Linked DNA regions of Oryctolagus cuniculus. The protein of the gene in region 2 interacts with the protein of the main gene of each other region in a pairwise test. Links are inferred from orthologs where the notes say so. Each region holds a gene or a part of one and is shown on either strand. Other genes may lie near its edges.

What was found. The genes of interacting proteins can lie anywhere in the genome.
Region 1: the proteins of SNRPN (region 2) and SNRPD3 interact in a two-hybrid assay, tested with the Homo sapiens proteins (2 studies listed by BioGRID, with this or other methods). The link is inferred for Oryctolagus cuniculus from reciprocal best matches to the Homo sapiens genes SNRPN and SNRPD3.

What each region holds. Positions count from the first base shown.
Region 1 is NC_091452.1:31,109,685-31,119,347, reverse strand, and holds the start of SNRPD3 (small nuclear ribonucleoprotein Sm D3), read left to right. Parts: upstream 1-4,193; 5' UTR 4,194-4,307; intron 4,308-6,045; 5' UTR 6,046-6,063; coding exon 6,064-6,189; intron 6,190-9,663. Other genes in the region: protein GUCD1, read right to left, coding at 3,868-4,078. UniProt on the Homo sapiens protein: Plays a role in pre-mRNA splicing as a core component of the spliceosomal U1, U2, U4 and U5 small nuclear ribonucleoproteins (snRNPs), the building blocks of the spliceosome.
Region 2 is NC_091443.1:13,807,423-13,817,089, reverse strand, and holds the start of SNRPN (small nuclear ribonucleoprotein-associated protein N), read right to left. Parts: upstream 4,896-9,667; 5' UTR 4,876-4,895; exon of another isoform or gene 4,850-4,875; intron 4,279-4,849; exon of another isoform or gene 4,243-4,278; intron 2,703-4,242; exon of another isoform or gene 2,631-2,702; intron 389-2,630; 5' UTR 244-388; coding exon 241-243; intron 1-240. Other genes in the region: SNURF (SNRPN upstream reading frame protein), read right to left, coding at 4,896-5,001, 9,345-9,440.

The DNA of each region.
Region 1 (9,663 bases), on a different chromosome or scaffold from region 2:
GGAGCCTCTTTCACATCCTGTTTGCTTCCTTGTTTAGCAAAAGTAACCAGCAACAAAAGGCTACTCTGTCCCCCCACCAAACTGTAAGCTTCCTGTGGGCAGGTGTTTGCGTTTCAATGTGTCCCTTCCAAAATTCCTGTTGAAACTGAATCCCCATTGTAGCCTTAGTATCAGCCAGGGGCCTTCTGGGAACTGCTTAAACAAGAATTCTGCCCTCAAGGATGGATTACTTTATAAAAGGGCCAGAAAAGAACAAGCTTCAGCAACCCCCACTCCCCCCCGCCCCCGCCTTCTACTCTCCCATCCTACCAGAACAAAATGTTCTTTCTTCTGTCCCTTCTACCACGTGAGGACGCCTAGGGGACACCATCTTTGAAGGGCCATTACCAGATATCACACTGGCCACAGCCTTGATCTTGGGACTTTCCAGTCTCCCAAACCGAGAAAGTCAGTTTCTGTAGTTTAAAGATCACCCGGTCACAGACTAAAACAACAGGGAATTTGCTAATCCCAGGCCCTGGGGTCTGAGGCTTCGTAGTAAATATGGAAAGAAATGCAAGAGGGTGCCCATGCTGTGGCGCAGAGAGTTAAAGGCCTGGCCTGCAGTGCCAGCATCCCATATGGGCGCCAGTTCGAGTCCCGGCTGCTCCACTTCCAATCCAGCTCCCTGCTAATGCACCTGGGAGAACAGTGAAGGAGGGCCCAGGTCCTTGGCTCCTGCTCCCATGCGGGTGACCCAGAAGAAACTCCTGGCTCTTGACTTTGGCCTGGCATAGCCCCGAATGTTGCAGGCATTTGGGAAGTGAAATAGCAGATTCATCTCTCTCTCTGTAACTCTACCTTTCAAATAAAATACATCTTAAAAAAAAAAAAAAAAAAAGAGGTGTAAAAACAAAAAAGGAAATGAAGCAGTCACGGTGCATTAGGCTCTGGGGACACACAGGGGACCCAAGGACCCCAGCCCTGACCTCCAGGGTCTCCTATTCTAAACCAGTTCCCTGGAGTGGGCTGGGGGTGGGGCAAGAGTTCTCTGCGGGGTGAAGAATCCCTCCACTGTGCCTATCAACTGCCTTTTTGTTTTTTTTCCCTGCACAGGCTGGTAACTCCCCAGGCTCTGCTCTTACATAACCCTTGGTCTGCAGTGTTGTCTCCCATCACAGGCCGCCCGGAAGTTCCGGGCCTCTCCCTCCCGGGGAAGGGGGGGCCCGCAACGTGGAGTCCTCCAGGGGGCATCTGATTGCCCCACTAGATGGAAGGAAGACTTCCTTGGCGGTGGGCGGGGACATTCGCCTCCACTTGGCCCTCAGCCCATAGCAGGCATGCAGACACGCTTGGTGAATGGAAGAGGCTTTCTCCAGAAACACTTTATCTCTTAACATGCCCACGCCAGTCTGTCACTACAGTGCACTCCCCTGGCCCCTCCGTCCTCCCCCACCCGCCCCAGTTTCCAGACTATTCCTCCACCCCAGGCTCTCTCTCTCCAGCCTGGAGCCTGAGTTCTGGCACTGACTGGCTGGGCCACCTCCTGCCAGGCTATGACCCTGCCTGTGGCCTCTGGCTTCCCCTACCCCCAGCTGGAAAATGTGGTACAGGAGAACTGCTCTCTGAGGACACTCAACTCCTCTCCTGTTCTTGTCCTCAGCCCTAGAATCCCTTGATCTGAGGCCAGCGCTGTGGCGTAGCGGGTAAACCCGCTTCCTGCAGTGCCAACATCGCATATGGTCGCCAGTTCGAGTCCCGGCTGCTCCTCTTCCAGTCCAGCTCTCTGCTGTGGCCTGGGAAAGCAGTGGAAGATGGTCCAAGTCCTTGGGCCCCTGCACCCACGTGGGAGACCCAGAAGAAGCTCCTGGCTCCTGGCTTGGTTTCAGCACAGCTCCAGCCGTTGCTGCCATTTGGGGAGTGAACTAGCAGATGGAAGACCTCTCTCTCTGCCTCTGCCTCTCTGTAACTCTGCCTTTTGAATAAAATAAATCTTAAAAAACAAAACATGAATCCGTTGATCCTAGGGTTCCCACAGGGCTAAACACCCCCCACGTGGCCATCCTCAGTCTTGGCACAGGCTGATCCGCCCACAGGGACCCGGATGCTTCTGCAGAGGGTGATAAGGGTAGGCGAGGCCTCTCGGCATTTGTCCTGATAACAGCTTAAGCTTTAGAGACAGCGCCAGATGTTGACATTCGTCCGGAGGCAAGCGTCTGCCTGGGAGGCCCCCGGCCTGGCTTCGGTCAGTGGCTGTTGCCCAACAGCCAAGGAAGGAAGGCAGTCCACTGACTGTGGATACGGGTCTGCAAAACAGCAACCGGCACCAGTGACCAGCTTCACTGGGCTGTTACGAGGACTGCGAGGGCACTGCAGGTAAACATTTGAACACAACGCCTGCTTCCTGGACTGCTCCCTCCCAACATAAGCCCTGACTCCTCGGGGGCTCAGGAGCCGCACCACTCTTGCCCAAGACCAGAAAGAACTGGAAGGGTAGGACTCTAAATCCCCAGGTGACATCAGGCCCAATGTCACGCTGCCGCCACCAAAGAGATCACTCCTGGCAGTCGCGGTCCCCCCTATTGCTCCACCTCTCTCCCACGAGTGCGCCCCTCGGAACCTGCCGGGGCACTGTCCCTTTCTCATCAACTCTGAGCTGCAGGAAGCCGACTTCCAACCTCCCCTACTTCTTGGACAAGCAAACTGAGGCCCAGGGCACTGAGCGGTATTCTCAGGCTCCAGCCCAGAGGGGCTCAGGTTACCTTGGGGCAGAAGGAACCAGAGAATGGTAACCGTAGCAAGCAAACAAGACTAGCTACGTCCTGCAAGCTAAGGGAAGGGCCCACCCAGGTCCCTGCCCACCCAGGTTCAGTTCCCCCAAGAGAGCGGACTCTCCCAAGGCGGCTACAGGAGGACTTTTGCGTAGTTGGCACCCTCTCCACCCGGGGCCCTCCCACGTGACCGCCAGCACAGCTGACTGGGGTCCCTGCCCTGTTAGTATCAGGAAACCCCAGCTGACCAGAGGCTGGGGGAAGGGAGAAGAGCCCGAGGCAAGGGTGTCCACCTGGCCATGATTTCGCTACAGCTCCACAGCCTGGGCAGAGACGGCCAGGGACGCGCGCGGATGGACCCTGCTCCGCGCTAGGGCGGGGTCCCCCTCATTCCCCGGGGCTGAGGGCTGGGCCCTCAGAGAGAGGCACTGACCCGGCTCGAGCGGCGGCCCCGCTGCCTCCGCCTCCGTCCTCATGACCCGCGCAGCACGGGGCGCCCATGGCCCCGGCCCGCTGCGGGCTGCAGCTTCGGCTTCAGCTGGCGCAGGAGCGCAGCCAATGCGTGTCGAACGCCGTAGCCGCCGCCGCCACCGCCACAGCGGGGAGAAGCGGAGGCGGCGGCCGGGCAGCCCCAAGCCCCGCCCCAGCCACTCCAGGTCTTGGATCCGGAGGCCCCGCCCCTCCCCTAATCCCCGCCCCTTCCCAGTCCCAGACTTCGATTCCTAGAGGCTTCCAGCCTCATGATTTAAGCCCGGCCTGGCCATTCACAGTCTCGGTTTCTGGTAGCTCCGCCCCCTTACCGAATCCTCGCGCAGACGCGCGGGCCCTTCCTTCGCTCGGTCCCCCGGAAGCTCCGCCCCTTCTGAGCCCCTCCCCGAGGGCTCGGCGCAGCGCAAACACTGGCTCCCCAGGGGCTCTTTCCCTCAGCAAGCCCCGCCTCTGCCAGGCCCCACCCCTTTGCCGGCTTCAGCTGTAAGCCGGCTCCGGCCCTGTGATTGCCTAGGGTCCAGGCAACCGTACTCTGATCTCTTTAGTGCTGAGCCGGCCCCTGCTCCACTTGGTACCTCAGTTTCTCTGTCCAGACACGACACCTCCCCTCTCTGAGAGTTCCCGTTACCTGGCAGTGCCGGGTTCCAAAGATTAAATTGTGAGGGGAGGTCCCAGCCCTCATTCCCACTTCCTGCTGCCCCGGATCCGAGGACCCAGGCTGTAGATCCCCTCCTTGTCGTCCAGCCAGTCTTTTGTGAGGGGTGCTTGGAAGCGCAAGCCCCCCTCTCCCGTTTCGGGCCCCCGCGTCGGGGCTTCCGGCGGCCCCCGGGCCCTGTCATCAGCCCTCTCTTCCGGCGCCGGAACTATCGTACCTGGGTCCGCGTTTCCCAGCCGGCGGAGTAAGGAGGAAGCGGAGACGAGCTCGCGCTCTGGGACGGTCCCCGCGCGCGGCATTCTGGGAGCGCGTGGTATTCTGGGAGTGCAAGGCCCGCCATTCGCCCCGCTCACGCCTTCTCTCTCGCAGTTGTTGTCGCAGCACCGAAGAGGAGGAAGAAGGGGCTCGAGCCGGTGAGTAGGGGCCGGGGACGGGAAAGGGGAGGCCTAGGCGCTCGTGAGGGATCGGGGGCTGGGGCAGGACGCGCTGCAAGGAACCGCGCAGGGCTCCGGGAGGGAAGGAAGCGGGAAGCCGGGACACCCAGACACCCGCGTCGCCTCGCCTGAGCCTGGGGAGTGAGTTCGTTACCTCCCCCTCGTTTCTGGCTGCTTAGCCTCGTCCCTGAACTCCATCGGCGTCATCCTTGGCCTCCAGCCCCCTTTTCCGGCGCTGATGCAGCCCCTCGTGCTTTCCACGCCATTGCAAAAGCGTTTTCCGAAGTTCCTCTGCTTCTGAACTGTGTGTTCGATTTGGCCTGTAAACGCTGATACCTTTCCATTGGGTCGTTCCTTCCTTGAGATCCCGCGCTGGTTCCGTGCTCTCTGAAACGTAACATTCCAGCTCTGGCGGCGGAGGGCTGGGGATCCTCACGGAGCGAGCCTGGCTGCCCTGTCGTGTTCTCCCTTATTTCGTGCCAGCCTTGCGTCCTTACCTGGCTCAATAAAAACTCCACTGCTTGTCTCTCAACTACGTCGGCAGATCCTTGTGTTTTTCCTCCAAGATAAGCAGTTTCCTACACGTTGTCCCTTTGTGACCGCTTTGCTGTTTTCTCTTTAGCTTTAACAGTAAAGCGAATGGAAAGTCAGAGGCTGAAATAAAAACACAGCCTCCTCTCCTGGATATGTCTGGGTCCTCTGGTTGGTTGGTTTGTTTGTAAGATTCATTTATCTGAAAGGCAGAGTTACACAGTCGGGGTCGGGGGCAGGCAGAGAGAGAGATCTTCCATCCCCTGGTTCACTCCCTCAAATGACTGCAACGGCTGGAGCTGGGGGCCAGGCCAGAGTCAGGATCTTCTCCCCGGTCTCCCACAGGTTCAGGGGCCCAAGCATTTGGCCCATCCTCTCCTGCTTTCCCAGGCTATCAGCAGAGATCTGGAGTGGCAGTAGACAGCCGGGACTTGAACCAGTGCCCCTGTGGGATGCCGGTGTACCCGCTGCACCCCATCGTGGTTTTCAGGATGCAGTCACCCACAGCTGTGGATAGGCAGATGTGTTGCTCAGCATGGACGTTCCGAGCGCCTCTCTCCCAACACACAGACCACATTGGTCACTGGTTATCTTGGCCAAGGAAAAGGGACATGAGGGGCCAGTGTTGTGGGGCAGCTGGTTAAGCTGCCACCTGTGACGCTGGCACCCACGTGAGAGTGCCAGGCTGATTCTCAGCTGCTCCATTTCCTATCCAACTCCCTGCCAGTGCTCCTGGGAGGCAGCAGATAATGGCCTGAGGTTTGAGCCCCTTGCCACCCACATAGGGAGACCCAGATGCAGTTCCAGGCTTTGCAGCCATTTGGGGAGTGGCCCAGCGGATGGAAGATCTCTCTCTCTCTCTCTCTGTATCTGTATCTGTGTCCCTTACTCTGTCTCTAGGTAAAGGGACATGGGAGCAGGTGAGGAGTAGGGAGGTAGGTGGGAGATTCTTTTCCTTTCCGTGAGCTTTCCTTCTGTCCAGCACGCTGTCTCTCCCCTCTTCATATTGTGTGTATTTGCCAGGAAGGCTCCTCCAAGCCAGGAGCTGAGCTGCTCTTGTGTAGAAAATGCAGCTTTGGCACCGGTGTTAGGTTTTATGGGGTCCAGGCCTTGGGGAGACATGGTGCGCACCACACGCGGCCTCTGGCTCTGAAGGCTGGGCTCACTGCTGTGTCTCCCACCACAGCACTCTCCTCCTGCCGAGATGTCCATCGGTGTGCCGATCAAAGTCCTGCACGAGGCCGAGGGCCACATCGTGACCTGCGAGACCAACACCGGCGAGGTGTATCGGGGCAAGCTCATCGAGGCAGAAGACAACATGAACTGCCAGGTACGGGAGGCTGGCGGCGTCTCCATTGTGCCCGACGTGTGGCAGGCGCTGCCGCGGGCTCCGGGACTGTGGGCCTGAGCAAGAGACAGTACTGGGGCAAAGAACCGTATGGAGATTTGGAATAGTTAACTTTGGCCTTTGCCTTCTCCATCCCATAATTGTCCCCTCCCAACTCCCCATTTTAAAGATTTATTATTTATTTGAAAGGCAGAGAAAGAGAGGGAGAGATCTTCCATCTACTGGTTCACTCCCCCAAATGGCCACAGTGGTTGGATCTGGGCTGATCTGAAACTGGGAGCCGGGAGCTTCTCCCAGGACTCCCACGTACAGGGACCCAAGCACTTGGGCCATCTTCTACTGCTTTCCCAGGTGCATTAGCAGGCTCAGAAGTGAAGTAGCTGGGACTTGAACCGGTGCCCGTATGGGATTCCAGTGTTGCAGGCAGTGGCTTCCCCTGCTACACCACAGTGCCAGCCTCTCCCATGTTTTGGGGCCTGTTTGAGAGAAATGGTGTTACCACCTTCAGCAGAATTCTTCAGGTTCAGGGCCATTACCCTCCCACCCCCACCACCCCACACAGTGAGCAGAAACCTGTGTGCTCTTTTTCTTAGAAGAGGGGTCATGTTTGATTACTGCAGCTGCCTAGTGAGGTAAATGAGTTTGGTGATAGTCTCGGCATCCAGGAAAGAGGGAGAATGTGGTTAAAGGACTCATCTACTGAATATTGCTCTGCTAATAAATGATAGAGCAACTTTCTAACGTGGTGTCTTTCTCAAAGCACTGCTTTTTACATAGTCAGGTAAATTTAAAACAAAAAGATTTATTTGAAAGGCAGAGTTACAGCGAAAGAGTGGGAGAGATAGCTTCCATCTGCTGGTTCACTTCCCAAATGGCCGCAATGGCCGGAGCTGAGCCAAGCCAAAGCCAAGAGCTTCTTCTGGGTCTCCCACATGGATGCAGGGGCCTGAGCACTTGGGCCATCTTCTACTGCTTTCCCAGGCCATAGCAGAGAGCTGGATCAGAAGTGGAGCAGCCGGGACTCAAACCGGCGCCCACATGGGATGCTGGCACTGCAGGTGGCGGCTTTACCTGCTATGCTGCAGCACCATCAAGTATTTTTTATAGCATTATTTTCCAGAGTGTCAGCACATGTTCTTTTTTTGTTTAAAATTTTATTTATTTATTTGAATGGCAGAGGGAGAGAGATCTTGCATCTGTTGGTTTATTCCCCATATATTCAAAGTAGCTGGAGCTGAGCCAGGCCAAGGCAGGAGCCTAGAACTCTACCCAGTTCTCCCACGTGGGTGGCAGAGGCCCAAGCACTTCCAAGGTCTCCCACTACCTTCAGAGGCGTGTTAGCAGGGAACGGATCAGAAGCATGACAACCACAACTTGAACCAGCCTTCTTTTTTTTTTTTTTTTTTTTTTTTAATTTGACAGGTAGAGTTATAGACAGTGAGAGAGAGAGACAGAAAGGTCTTCTATTGGTTCACCCCCTAAATGGCCGCTACGGCCAGCACTGCACGGATCCAAAGCCAGAAGCCAGGTGCTTCCTCCTGGTCTCCCATGCTGGGTGCAGGTGCCCAAGCACTTGGGCCATCCTCCACTGCCCTCTGGGCCATGGCAGAGAGCTGGACTGGATGAGGAGCAATTGGGACTAGAACTCGGCGCCCATATGGGATGCCAGCACTGCAGGTGGAGGATTAACCAAGTGAGCCACGGCACTGGCCCCTGAACCAGCCTTCTGATACGAGATGCTGACATCGCAATCCGCTGCTTAACCCACTGCACCACAATGCCCTTTATTCTTTAAACCGTTGGTTAGGAGCCCAAGCTCTGGGAGCAGGAATTTTGCCTGATGGTTAAGATGCCAGTTGGGATTTCAGTATCTCGTGTCTAAACACCTGTATTTGAGCGCCGCTTCCACTCCTGGTTCCTTCTAACTGTGCACCCTGGTGGGCAAGAAACTGAGTCCATAGCACCCACCTGAGAGACCTGGATTGAGTTCTTGGTTCCAGGTTTTGCCCTGGGCCAACCTTTTGCGGGCATTTTTGGAGAGTGAACCAGTGGATGGGAGCTCTCTCTCTTTCTCAAGTAAATATGTTTTGTTTTGTTTTGTTTTTTAAGGAACTTGGGTTTTGGAATCAGAAATTGGAGAGACATGACTCTGAACCCTGGCTATATGACCTCAGGTTTAGTAGCCACATACCTTCCTCATCAGTGAAATGGGGGTGCTGCTATTTTGGGTGCCCTGAGACATAGCTGCTAGGACAACTGGATGTGTGAGATAGTGGAAAATGACAGGGAGAATGAGAAGAGGGAGCAGAACTGTCAGACCCGGAAGCTGGTTTGCCCGCGTAAAGGAAGGAGGATTGAGCGGGGAGAGCCTCAGACCCAGCACGGCCCTGAGGAAGCCTCAGCAAGGCAGAGGCTGCTCCTCAGGGGGGTCTGGCCTGGGGCAGGAATGGCCTGGGCTCTCGTGCCTGTGCTGTGGGCCAGCATTGGCTGGCTCCCCAGGGAGGTGGGGCCCTCAGCGTGCTGTGGTGGATTCCAGAGGCGTCAGCTTGCTCTCTGTTGAGAGGTCTGAGCACGCCCAACACCACCTCAGGAATAGCACCCACACCCCAGGGCAGTGTCAGAGTTCAGCTGAGTCCTGTCTGCAGTAAGCTAGCTCGGGGCCCCCCATGTTGTGAGTGTCCAAGGTACCATGCTCCAGGGAGTTGAAGTGCATTACCCAAGGTCAGATGTCTTGACTGGCCATTGCTGTGCAGGGTTTGCTTGTGATTTCTCTTTAGCTTTGTGCAGCTCCCATCTTTCTGTCAGGTTGACCAGCTCACAGTTTCCTGGTGCAGAGGGAGGCAGAGATCTGGTGACTTAGGTTTATCTCCTCACCGTTGGTGCCGTAGACGTGGGTGGGTGGGCTCTGACAGGCACAGCTGGCGTTGCTCTAAAGAGCCTGGCCTATGGCACGCTCTGCCCGTGTGAGGTGCTGCTGTCGTCGATCCAGTCCTTTGACTTAGGCATCCTCGTCAGCTTTAAGCTACTTGAATTTAGTGAGTAGAATGCAGGGGTTAATGGTAGTGAGTAATTCTTTTATTTTATTTATTTTCTTTTTTTTTTTTTTTTAAGATTTATTTATTTGAAGGAGGCAGTGACAGCATTTCCACCCACTGGTTCACTCTCCAAATGGCTGTATCGGCCGAGGCTAGGCTAGGTCCAAGCCAGGAGCCTGGAGCTCCATCCTGGTCTCCCATGTGGGTGGCAGGGGCCCAGGTCCTTTTCCATCATGCTCAGCTTTCCCAGTGCATTAGTGAGGAGCTGGATGGGAAGTGGAGCAGCTGGGACTCCAGCCGGCACTCTGCGGGGGGCTGCCGGCATGGTAGCTGGCAGCTTAGCTTGCTGTGCCACAGTACCAGCCCCAGTGAGAGATCCTTAGTGTATAAGTTCAACAGAACGATTTATTCGGACAATTTG
Region 2 (9,667 bases):
CTGCTTCTGAATTTTCTCATGTTCTAAAACACCTCAAGATGGTTTTGAAACCAATTTGCAGTAATTAACAAGAAAAGAAACATTGCTAATCCCTGTTTTTTTTCAATGCATTTAGAATACATGTCTACATATTTATTCAAATTTTCAGAACCCAAAGGCACCCACACACAACTGCAAACTACTATTTGATGCCCTTATAACAACTTACCACCCCCCCATCTTAATACATAAACATCTTACCATGATTGCTGTTCCACCAAATTCAATGTCCAAAGTAAAATTTCAGGACCCTTAAGACCTAAGGGAAGGCTATAGATAAAGGTATGATGGCAGGTTCTCCTAGAAACAATGCAAGCTGGGCAGAAGCTTCACAAACAGTAGATGGAGCCTGCAGAGGAAAGCATGTTACAGCTGCACTACAATCTACCATGTTTTAAAATAGGCAGACAATTTTGCACAGATATCACTGCAAAACACATTCAAAAAATCCTTTATCCCATGACTCATTCACTACTCCTTCATCTTTAATTCCCACATTCGACATAGCTAGCACTGATGAAACTCACTAAATTATATTTTACCAGTAACTTTCATTTAAACATCTCAAAATTTTACTATTCTTCCTTTCTACCTTTAAGGTTATTGCTTTACTCCCACACCTAAAATTAATTAAGTATCTCACGTATTTATAACACAAATTATTCCTGAGTTAGTTCAAGATTTTGTTGTGGGGCCAGCACCCTGGCTCACTTGGTTAATCCTCTGCCTGAGGCGCCGCGCCAGCATCCCATATGGGCGCCGGGTTCTAGTCCCGGTTGCTCCTCTTCCAGTCCAGCTCTCTGCTGTGGCCCAGGAAGGCAGTGGAGGATGGCCCAAGTGTTTGGGCCTCTGCACCCCCATGGGAGACCAGGAGGAGGCACCTGTCTGCTGGCTTCAGACCCATACAGCGCCGGTTATGGTGGCCATTTGGGGAGTCAACTAACGGAAGGAAGACCTTGCTCTCTGTTTCTGTCTATAAATCTACCTGTCAAATAAATAAATTAAAAAAAAAGATTTTGTTGTTGATACTTTTTGTTTGAACAACCTAAATATTCAGCTGTAATATTCTTTCCTTCCCAAAGAGCACCTTCAAATGTAGTCTTCCCTCACCTAGAACCAAATGTATTATGAACGTGCTTAAGACTTTCTATGTCAAAGGCTGATACATAACTACTTAACAGAAGCTCATTGACAGCTTTCTTGTTTATCAAAGCGTCATGCATAACAAATTAACATTTTCACCATTACTTTTTGTAAAAAAAAAAAATGCTATCAATATGGCAATCAAATTTAGCCAGCATCTTATTCAGTGGCTGAAACTGCTGATGGTACAAAGAGACACAAATTATATTATTTTTGAGTAGGAATTTGGAGTTAAATATAAAAATAGAATCATATTAAAAGCTAAATTCCACTAGGATTGTTCTTCACTGTTTCCAATAGATAAAATTTTGAAACAGCACATTAAATGTTAGGTATATTCTGAGTACTTCATGGTTTGAAAATAATCATTAAAATCATGACTATAAACTACATGAACACCAAAACAATAAAGTAAAATAAGTTTTGAGCACATATGGAATTTTATGCCAACATATAAAAGAACATAAAAATACGTGATAACTCTTTCCATAAAGTTCTAAGATGTTTAAGGGATGTTTCCTATAGTTCTAGAAGCTTAATTGCAGTAAGACATTCCATGAGATCTTGAGAGTTCTTAGATCTTAAGATCCAAGAAATCCCTAACAATTTTTCAGTATACCCAACAACCTACATTTTCCACATACAAGCTTTCATGCATTCTTTTTAAAGTTTATGGTAAACAATCTGCTTATTCCCTCAATATACTGTCTATACTGCTCTGTAAGACGACTGATAACAGATTATACTATCTATGTACCTACTTATATCTACAGAAATGGCATCAAGAATACTCCAGTGCCCAAGATCCAATGTTTGTACATGAGGTAACACATTATCTAAAATTCATGAGAAAATCACAGGCAACTATTCAAACAAGGAGACTGAACTACTACTTCAATCATGTGTAATCTCTGACCCAAAATAACATAATGAATAAGAGAAGTTTAAGCCTGTGAATAGATGTCCTGAACAATAAAGAATGGGAGAATATACAACTAATTTGAAAATATTCTTCCACAGAGCACGGCCAACTAAATACCACATACTTTCCTTCATTGGAAGTGTTTATTTAAAAACTAAGAGTTGTAAAGAGAAACTAACCACTTTTAAAGTTTGTATTAATTATTTGAGACAGAAAGACACAGAGAGCTCTCATAAATTGGAATCCAGGTCTCCTTTGTGGGTGGCAGGAACCCAATAACTCATGCCATCACCACTCTCTACTAGAGCTGTTTTAGTACTAAGCTGGAGTCAGGAGTCAGAGCTGTGAATCAAATCCAGGTACTCTGATACTGAACACAAATGTCCAAATACCTACCTCTAGTCTAGGAATGTTCACATCAATCAAGACTTCCTGTGATGCATTTAAAAATCATTCCAGGGGAAATCATCTGGCATAGTAGTTAAGATACCATTAGGATAACTGGATACCACATCATAGTACCTACATTGGTGTCCTGGCTTCACTCCATATTCCAGCATTCTGCAAACACTGTATCTTGTGGAGGCTCAAGTATTTGGGTACCTGCAACCTACATGGGAGACCCAGATTGAATTCCTGACTGCTGGTTTTGGCCTGTCCCACCCTGCCTGTTTCAGTTATTTAGGAAGTGAATCAGTGGATGAGATCTCTGTCCATTCGTTCATCTTTGTATTTCAAACCATAAATATTTTTAAAAAGAAAAAGATTCACTCTAATATTATACCCACACTTGGATACTTATCCTTTTGTACCAAGAAACAAAACTAGAGGTTCAATATCCCTTTTCCAAGATGCTTGGAATCAGACATATCTTGCATTTCAGATTATTTTATACGTGATTATTGGCATCTGCAAAATAATGTTTCATATACAACTTACCCACATAGCATACAGTCATTTTATATGGTACTTTCGTGCATGAAAAGAGTCATGGTGTTTGGAATTTTCCACCAGGGGTGTCAGTGCTCAAAAAATTTTGTATTATTTTCAGTTACAAGTTTGAGAATTAAGGATGCTCAATCTGTAATATTCATAAATTTACTTTCCAATTTTCCTGGCTATCACATTGTTCAGATGTTTATAATTAAAATAGGAAGGTATCAATTATTAAAGTACCCTTCAAGTGAAATCCATATGATTTCCAGACCCTTCTCTTACTGCAGAAATACCTAGTATTCTACATACTTCATATACAATCTTTCAATAATCCCTTTCTTCAGCACTTTGCTATACCCCTTGGCACCACCGTGGTGTTTTCAATTAATCTGTGTCTCTAAAATAATGATCAGTAGATGTTTTTATATAAAAGAACAAGATATTAAATATTTCATGCTATCCCTATCATCTGATCTGTCAAAAAATTGACACTGTAGTGTCATGTAGCCATGAGCCTTACATAGACATAGCTATAGATCAATAAAAATCTACAAAAATATGTAGTGGGACAGATACTAACTCCTACTCTAATGAAAGCCTAATAGCTATCACTGTTTAGGTGAAACTAGCAGTTGGACACAGAATAACATAGGATATGATTAAATATGAGAAAATGAAATGGTTCTACTGGCAGATGCTAATACGTAATTTAAATAACATACTTAGAAGTTTTCAAGAGTATTCTAACTCAACTGAGAAGCCAAAAAATGTCTAGACACAAAGAAAATCAACTGTGTGTGTGCCTACTCATTGAAAAATGCCCTGAGGGGCAATTTTCAGATTCCCTAGCTTATTTGCAACAAAGTTCATCTTGGAATGTTGGATATTGAGGATTCAACAGGGAGGAGTTCTCAGAAAATATGTCTTCTCAGATTTAAATTCAATATAGTAGCCATAAACAGTCCTAATTAATTCAAGTTGAGGGGCAACATTTCAAAAACAGAAATAAAAATCTAGTAGAGAATTCACCCATATACCCTTTCTGATTCTATTTTCTAAACAGTATATAGCAAATTCTCTGAAATAAGGGCATTCTATTTTTAAAACAGAAAAAAATGAAGTAAAAACAAGGTACTGAATCAATGTGAATAACTTTCTAGAAAATATAAATCAACATAAACAGTAAATAAATCTACATCACATTAAAAATTTATGGATAATCTTTATTGCATTGTCTGCTGATTCCAGTAAGAAATACATTGGTGAAAACAGAAAAGTGAGAAAAAAGACAAAACAATGAAAGAAGTAGTTAGTGAATAACCAAGGAAATATTTAGATTCTCTAATAATCTTGATAATGATGGTATATTCAATAAGTATAAATGATATTATAATTATAATAAGACTGGTAAGTGTATTTTAAATAGCACACTATTTTATGGCAATGAAAACTAATGTTACTTTACAAACTCTTGCAAAATAATTAAATCACTCACAAAGGAGAATTATAAAGCATTAACTAACAGTTTTTTTTTTTTATATATAAGGTAAAGTTGAAAATCAAATAGAACATAAATAAAACTATCCAAAAAGCACACACCACAAAGATTGGGACACAAAAACATTGTCATGGCAGGAACATTAAGGATTTTCTTTTACTCTTTTAAAATCTTTATGTAATTTGCTTTTTTATAAGAAGTATTTATTTTTAAAAAAAAAAGTCTTTTCAAGTGCCCAGATTACTAAATGAACACCAAACACCCTTTTTTTCAATGATTTATTTTCTCATCATTACTACATCAGCTCTAACCTGGTTTTTGCTTAGAAGTCAGCTACCTTGATATTCCAATACTGCTTTAACCACCTCTTGGTGTCTCGGCTAAGAATGCCTGTCTTAGTTCCGCCTGGAAATCCACCACAGGTACTTGCTGCTGTTGAGAACGTCTTGGGTACAACTGACACCTATGATAAGAGCATAGTATACATAAATGACAAAAATATTTATTAATATTAATCATATCAAAGAATACACAGACTCTTCTATTTATGACAATCTGCTTTAATGCTCAGAGAATGCCATTACTTTGTTAGGAAACTATAAAATAAAACAAAAGTCTCTGAACACAAGGATGTGCGAGGAAACAGTGAATACTTACCCAGTCTAGGAATATTTCCAAAGACCCAAAAGACCAAGAGTTGTTAGTTCTGCAGAAAAAGTATCAGCATCATGGCCACTCAATTTACAATCATCCTATGTGGAAACCATCTTTTCTCCCATAGGCTGGGTGAAGAATTTGGTAATGCATTTTCAAGGCAATCATCCATACTGATACTCCTAAAATATCACCACCCGAAAAAAAGCACCTCAAGGGTACAGCTTGTTGAAGAGCTCCAAAACTAGGTAAATCATACATCTATGAATAAGCAGGGCATTTTAAAGAAAAGACCTCAACATACCCCTGTGGATCAGTAACCTGATCCTGAACAGAAGAGATGTAGAAATTTAGTTTGTTATGCAACAAGACATGCCTAGGACACAGGAGGAGAAATCACCAACAATTATGCCCTTGTTGATAAAGGAAAAAAAGAGATAAGAGGAGGCTTCAAAAGTTTCATGGAATATTCACCCTAAGATTTGTTTGTTTATTTGAAAGGCAGAGCAACCAAGAGATGGAGAAAGGTGGAAAGAGATACAGATCGATCCCCGAAATGGCACCAACAGCCAGGTCTGGGCCAGGTTGAAGACAGGAGCCAGGAACACTATCCTAGTCTCACACATGGGTGGCAGAGAACCAAACTGTTGGGTCATCTTCTGCTACCTTCCCAGGCATATTAGCAGGAAGCTGGCTAGGAAAAAAAAAAAAAAAAAAGAGAAGCCAAGACTCAAACCAGCACTCTGATACAGAATGCTGCATGTGTCTAAGCAGCTGCTTAATCTGCTGAGCCAAAAGTCTGCTCCCCACAACAACTTTTAATTCCATTTTTCAACAAACTTTCTGAAGCTTCATCAGTAAACAAAAATATTCATTAGCAGTTGGATTTGGAAATGTGGACAGTGGTAAAAGATTTTCTACTTCATAGTTTTTCAACATTTTCATCACACTGTTGGATGAAGAGTTTAGCAGGCCATGGTCCCTAGTTCAGGGGAGGTAACTTCTAAATTCTAGAAATTTACCCCAAAGGGGGATTATCTTTTTATTCCAAGTGAATTCTTCAGATCACATCTGAGTTTATGCTACTCCGATGACTCAGGATGGTGCCCAGCCCTACCACAAAACACCAAGGTAAGAGGGTAGTGGTTATAATTCTGATATCTTAGTTGGGGGATGGTCAGTGGAAACTGAGCTCAATCACATTACCAAGGATTCAATCAATGTTGACTATAAAATGAAAATACAATGAAATCATTAATATATAAAAGTTCTGCTGGGCTTCCTCGTTGGTGCATCTTGGGAACAGGGAAGCTTTGAATTTGGGACCCTCCTAGGTCTTAACCCATGAGTATGTTCTTTTCAATCATTTTATAATAAAAATTTTACTTCTGTGAGTCATTTTAACAACTTAGAAAATCTGAAGGGGCAGCAGAATCTATTGCCAGTTGTCAAAAGTAGGGGTAGTCTGGGAACTGCAGAGCTTGTAGCTGATGTCTGAATTCAAAGGAGTCTAACAGAGAGATGATACAATCTACCTATGAAGTCTGCATTAAGTCTTGGTTAGTAATTAAGCCTTAGTATCTTAATTACATTCTACACACTGTTGGAATTTCCTATTCCAATCACTGAATAATGGAATCTTAATTTGGCCATTCTCTATTCTGATTTCTGTTACCAAATGGCAACCAAGTCTCTTATCTAATGAAGTCCTATAAAGTGTTTCAGAAAGAAAAAAAAATTCAGCTTCTTAAAACCTATGGGGCCAGAGCCGTGGCTCACTTGGCTGATCCTCTGTCTGCAGCGCCAGCATCCCATATGGGTGCTGGGTTCTAGTCCCAGTTGCTCCTCTTCCAGTCCAGCTCTCTGCTATGGCCCAGGAGGGCAGTGGAGGATGGCCCAGGCGCTTGGGCCCCTGCACCCACATGGGAGACCAGGAAGAAGCTCCTGTATCCTGGCTTCAGATTAGCGTAGCGCCGGCCACAGTGGCCATTTGGGGGGAACCAATGGAAGAAAGACCTTTCTTTCTGTCTCTCACTGTCTAACTCTGTCAAATAAATTAAAAAAAAAAAAAAAAAACTAAAGAGAATTTCCTATTGCATTAACCCTTTGAGTTTAATTGTAACTCAACAAAAGACTAAACATAAGAAAGTAATGTTATTCAATACCAAAGAACAGGAACAGATTTGGTGGTATATCTACTAAGGACAGAATAATCATCGATATTCTAAATGAGAAGAAGGGGGAAAATGAACTTTTATTATGTCCATGTTAATCTGTGGAATATTCTGTTTACATGTTATATTGGCTTTTACTTGTTTTTGGATTTTTTGGAAGGACTACTAATGATAACCTTTTATTGGTCTCTAGGGCAGATACTTTCACAATGCCTCCAGGAAGACTGATAAGCAATACTTATAGTTTGGAAAAAGATGGCAGATTAATAGAGATAAATACTAATGAACATTCATCATATATGTAAAATATTACTATTAAGTGTACCAATCCTAAGCATATGAAACATAAGGCAGACAGTATCTACTGAAACCTTACACATTCCTGCAACCCCTTACACTCAAAAAGAGACAAAGGAGAAAATTAGAGTTTCCCTCCCACCTCATATCCTTCCAATTCAAGAACCTATAATATACAGAAGGTCAGGAAAATTCAAGTTATTTCTTCTTTAAAAGCATCCAAATATTTCCATATATTTGTACAAATAAAACACCAAATGAAGCTTACCTCATCCCAAAACAAGATTAAATATGAGATGATTAGTTGTATTCAATGTCACCGAGGCCATATAGGATAAACTCTTAACAAAACATAAAATACTAACTACATCCCCTCAAGAGACTCTAACCACCATCTTTATCTCCTGTACAATCTCTCTCAATTATCCCTTGGAAACTGTAGGGTATTCCCAGAAGTGCACTGACACTTTTTAAAACTTTGCAATTACTAAAGGGGAAATCAAGATATTATAACAAAATGTAAAATCAAATTATCTATTTTAAAGGACAAACTATCTTTCATAATATACTAATATTTATAAATATTTATAAATAAAATGTAAATATTCCTTTCAAAGTAATTTTCCAAAAGTGTAATTTAAACAATACTTGGAAGAGAAAAATAAAATTGAGGGCAAACAAATAGTCCTTATTCTCCCTAGGTATTTAAAATATGCAAGTCTTTTACAATTTTTGTATATAAAATAAGCACATGAAAATAACACACACAAATTTAATATCTACCTTCTATAATTAAAGTTAGATGAGGAAATTAGTATTAATACACTGATTTTCAGAGCAACCTGCTATCTTGTTAATAGTTAAGAAATACAAACGAAATAATGCATAGTTAGATTAATGATTAAAACAATTATAAGATAGGTATGCACACTGATCTGGAAAAATCCCAAGGAATATCTTCATACAATACATACAGCAGTATCATGCAGGCAATTTTAGAAATGTGTCCCGCCTATTCTCTTCCTCTTCTCTCCCTACTTCCCACATAGACAAACCCACAAGAGCAAGGATGCACAGGTCTGAAGGATAGAGACCAAAGTACTTATAGGTTATCTCTGTGGAGGGAAGGGAAATAAGTTGGTAGAGGCTTTAAAATTTGACTCAATTTTTATGGAAATGTATGTCAGAATTTTAGGGGCAATGATAAAATGCCAAACAGTCACTGTATATACGGCGTTTCTCAGGTCACTGAAATGTTTATGTACTCTTAATTAAAGCTGTCCTTTAGAAACCTAAATTGTGTGACAGCCCCTACATGTATATATTCTAATAAGAGGAAAAATTATGTATACACTAACAGAAAACAAAACCATTATTGCAGAATTAAGAATCAATATAATGTTCCACTAATGCACAGAACATTTTTCAAGCATATAAGTAGTGATTTAAAAATATAAGAAATTGGAAATTGTCCTGTTGAAAGATAAATACAAAAAAGAAAATCCAAGTTGGGCTGGATTAGGACTATGTAATTAAAAACAATTTAATTAAGGATAATTTCATTGTTATATATGCATGTACTTCAATTATCTACATTTTAATCTCTTTATTGCTCACTTTACTCTCTTCCAACTGAAACAGGAGTCAACATGAACTACTTTTCAACCCAGTGTATACTCACTCTTGATTGCTCAATGAAGCAGTCCTCCTACGTTTAACTTGGACTTCCACTTCTGGCACGTGCTGCTCTGTAGTCCGTCTCAGGTGTAAGCGATCCCTAAAATAGGAGGATTTGTTTGATCAACTTCTTGAATTCTGAAACAACTATTTATGTAAGGTATATATTTGGAGCTACATTTAAGATGGTGGACTTTTAAGAAAAAATACCCCAATATTCAAAATAACAAGTATTAGATCATCACTCTTTAAACAGAATGAATGTTGCAGCAACTTTCTCATTTTACAAACCCATCATGTCAGAAAACTAGGCTGAACCAAAAAGTT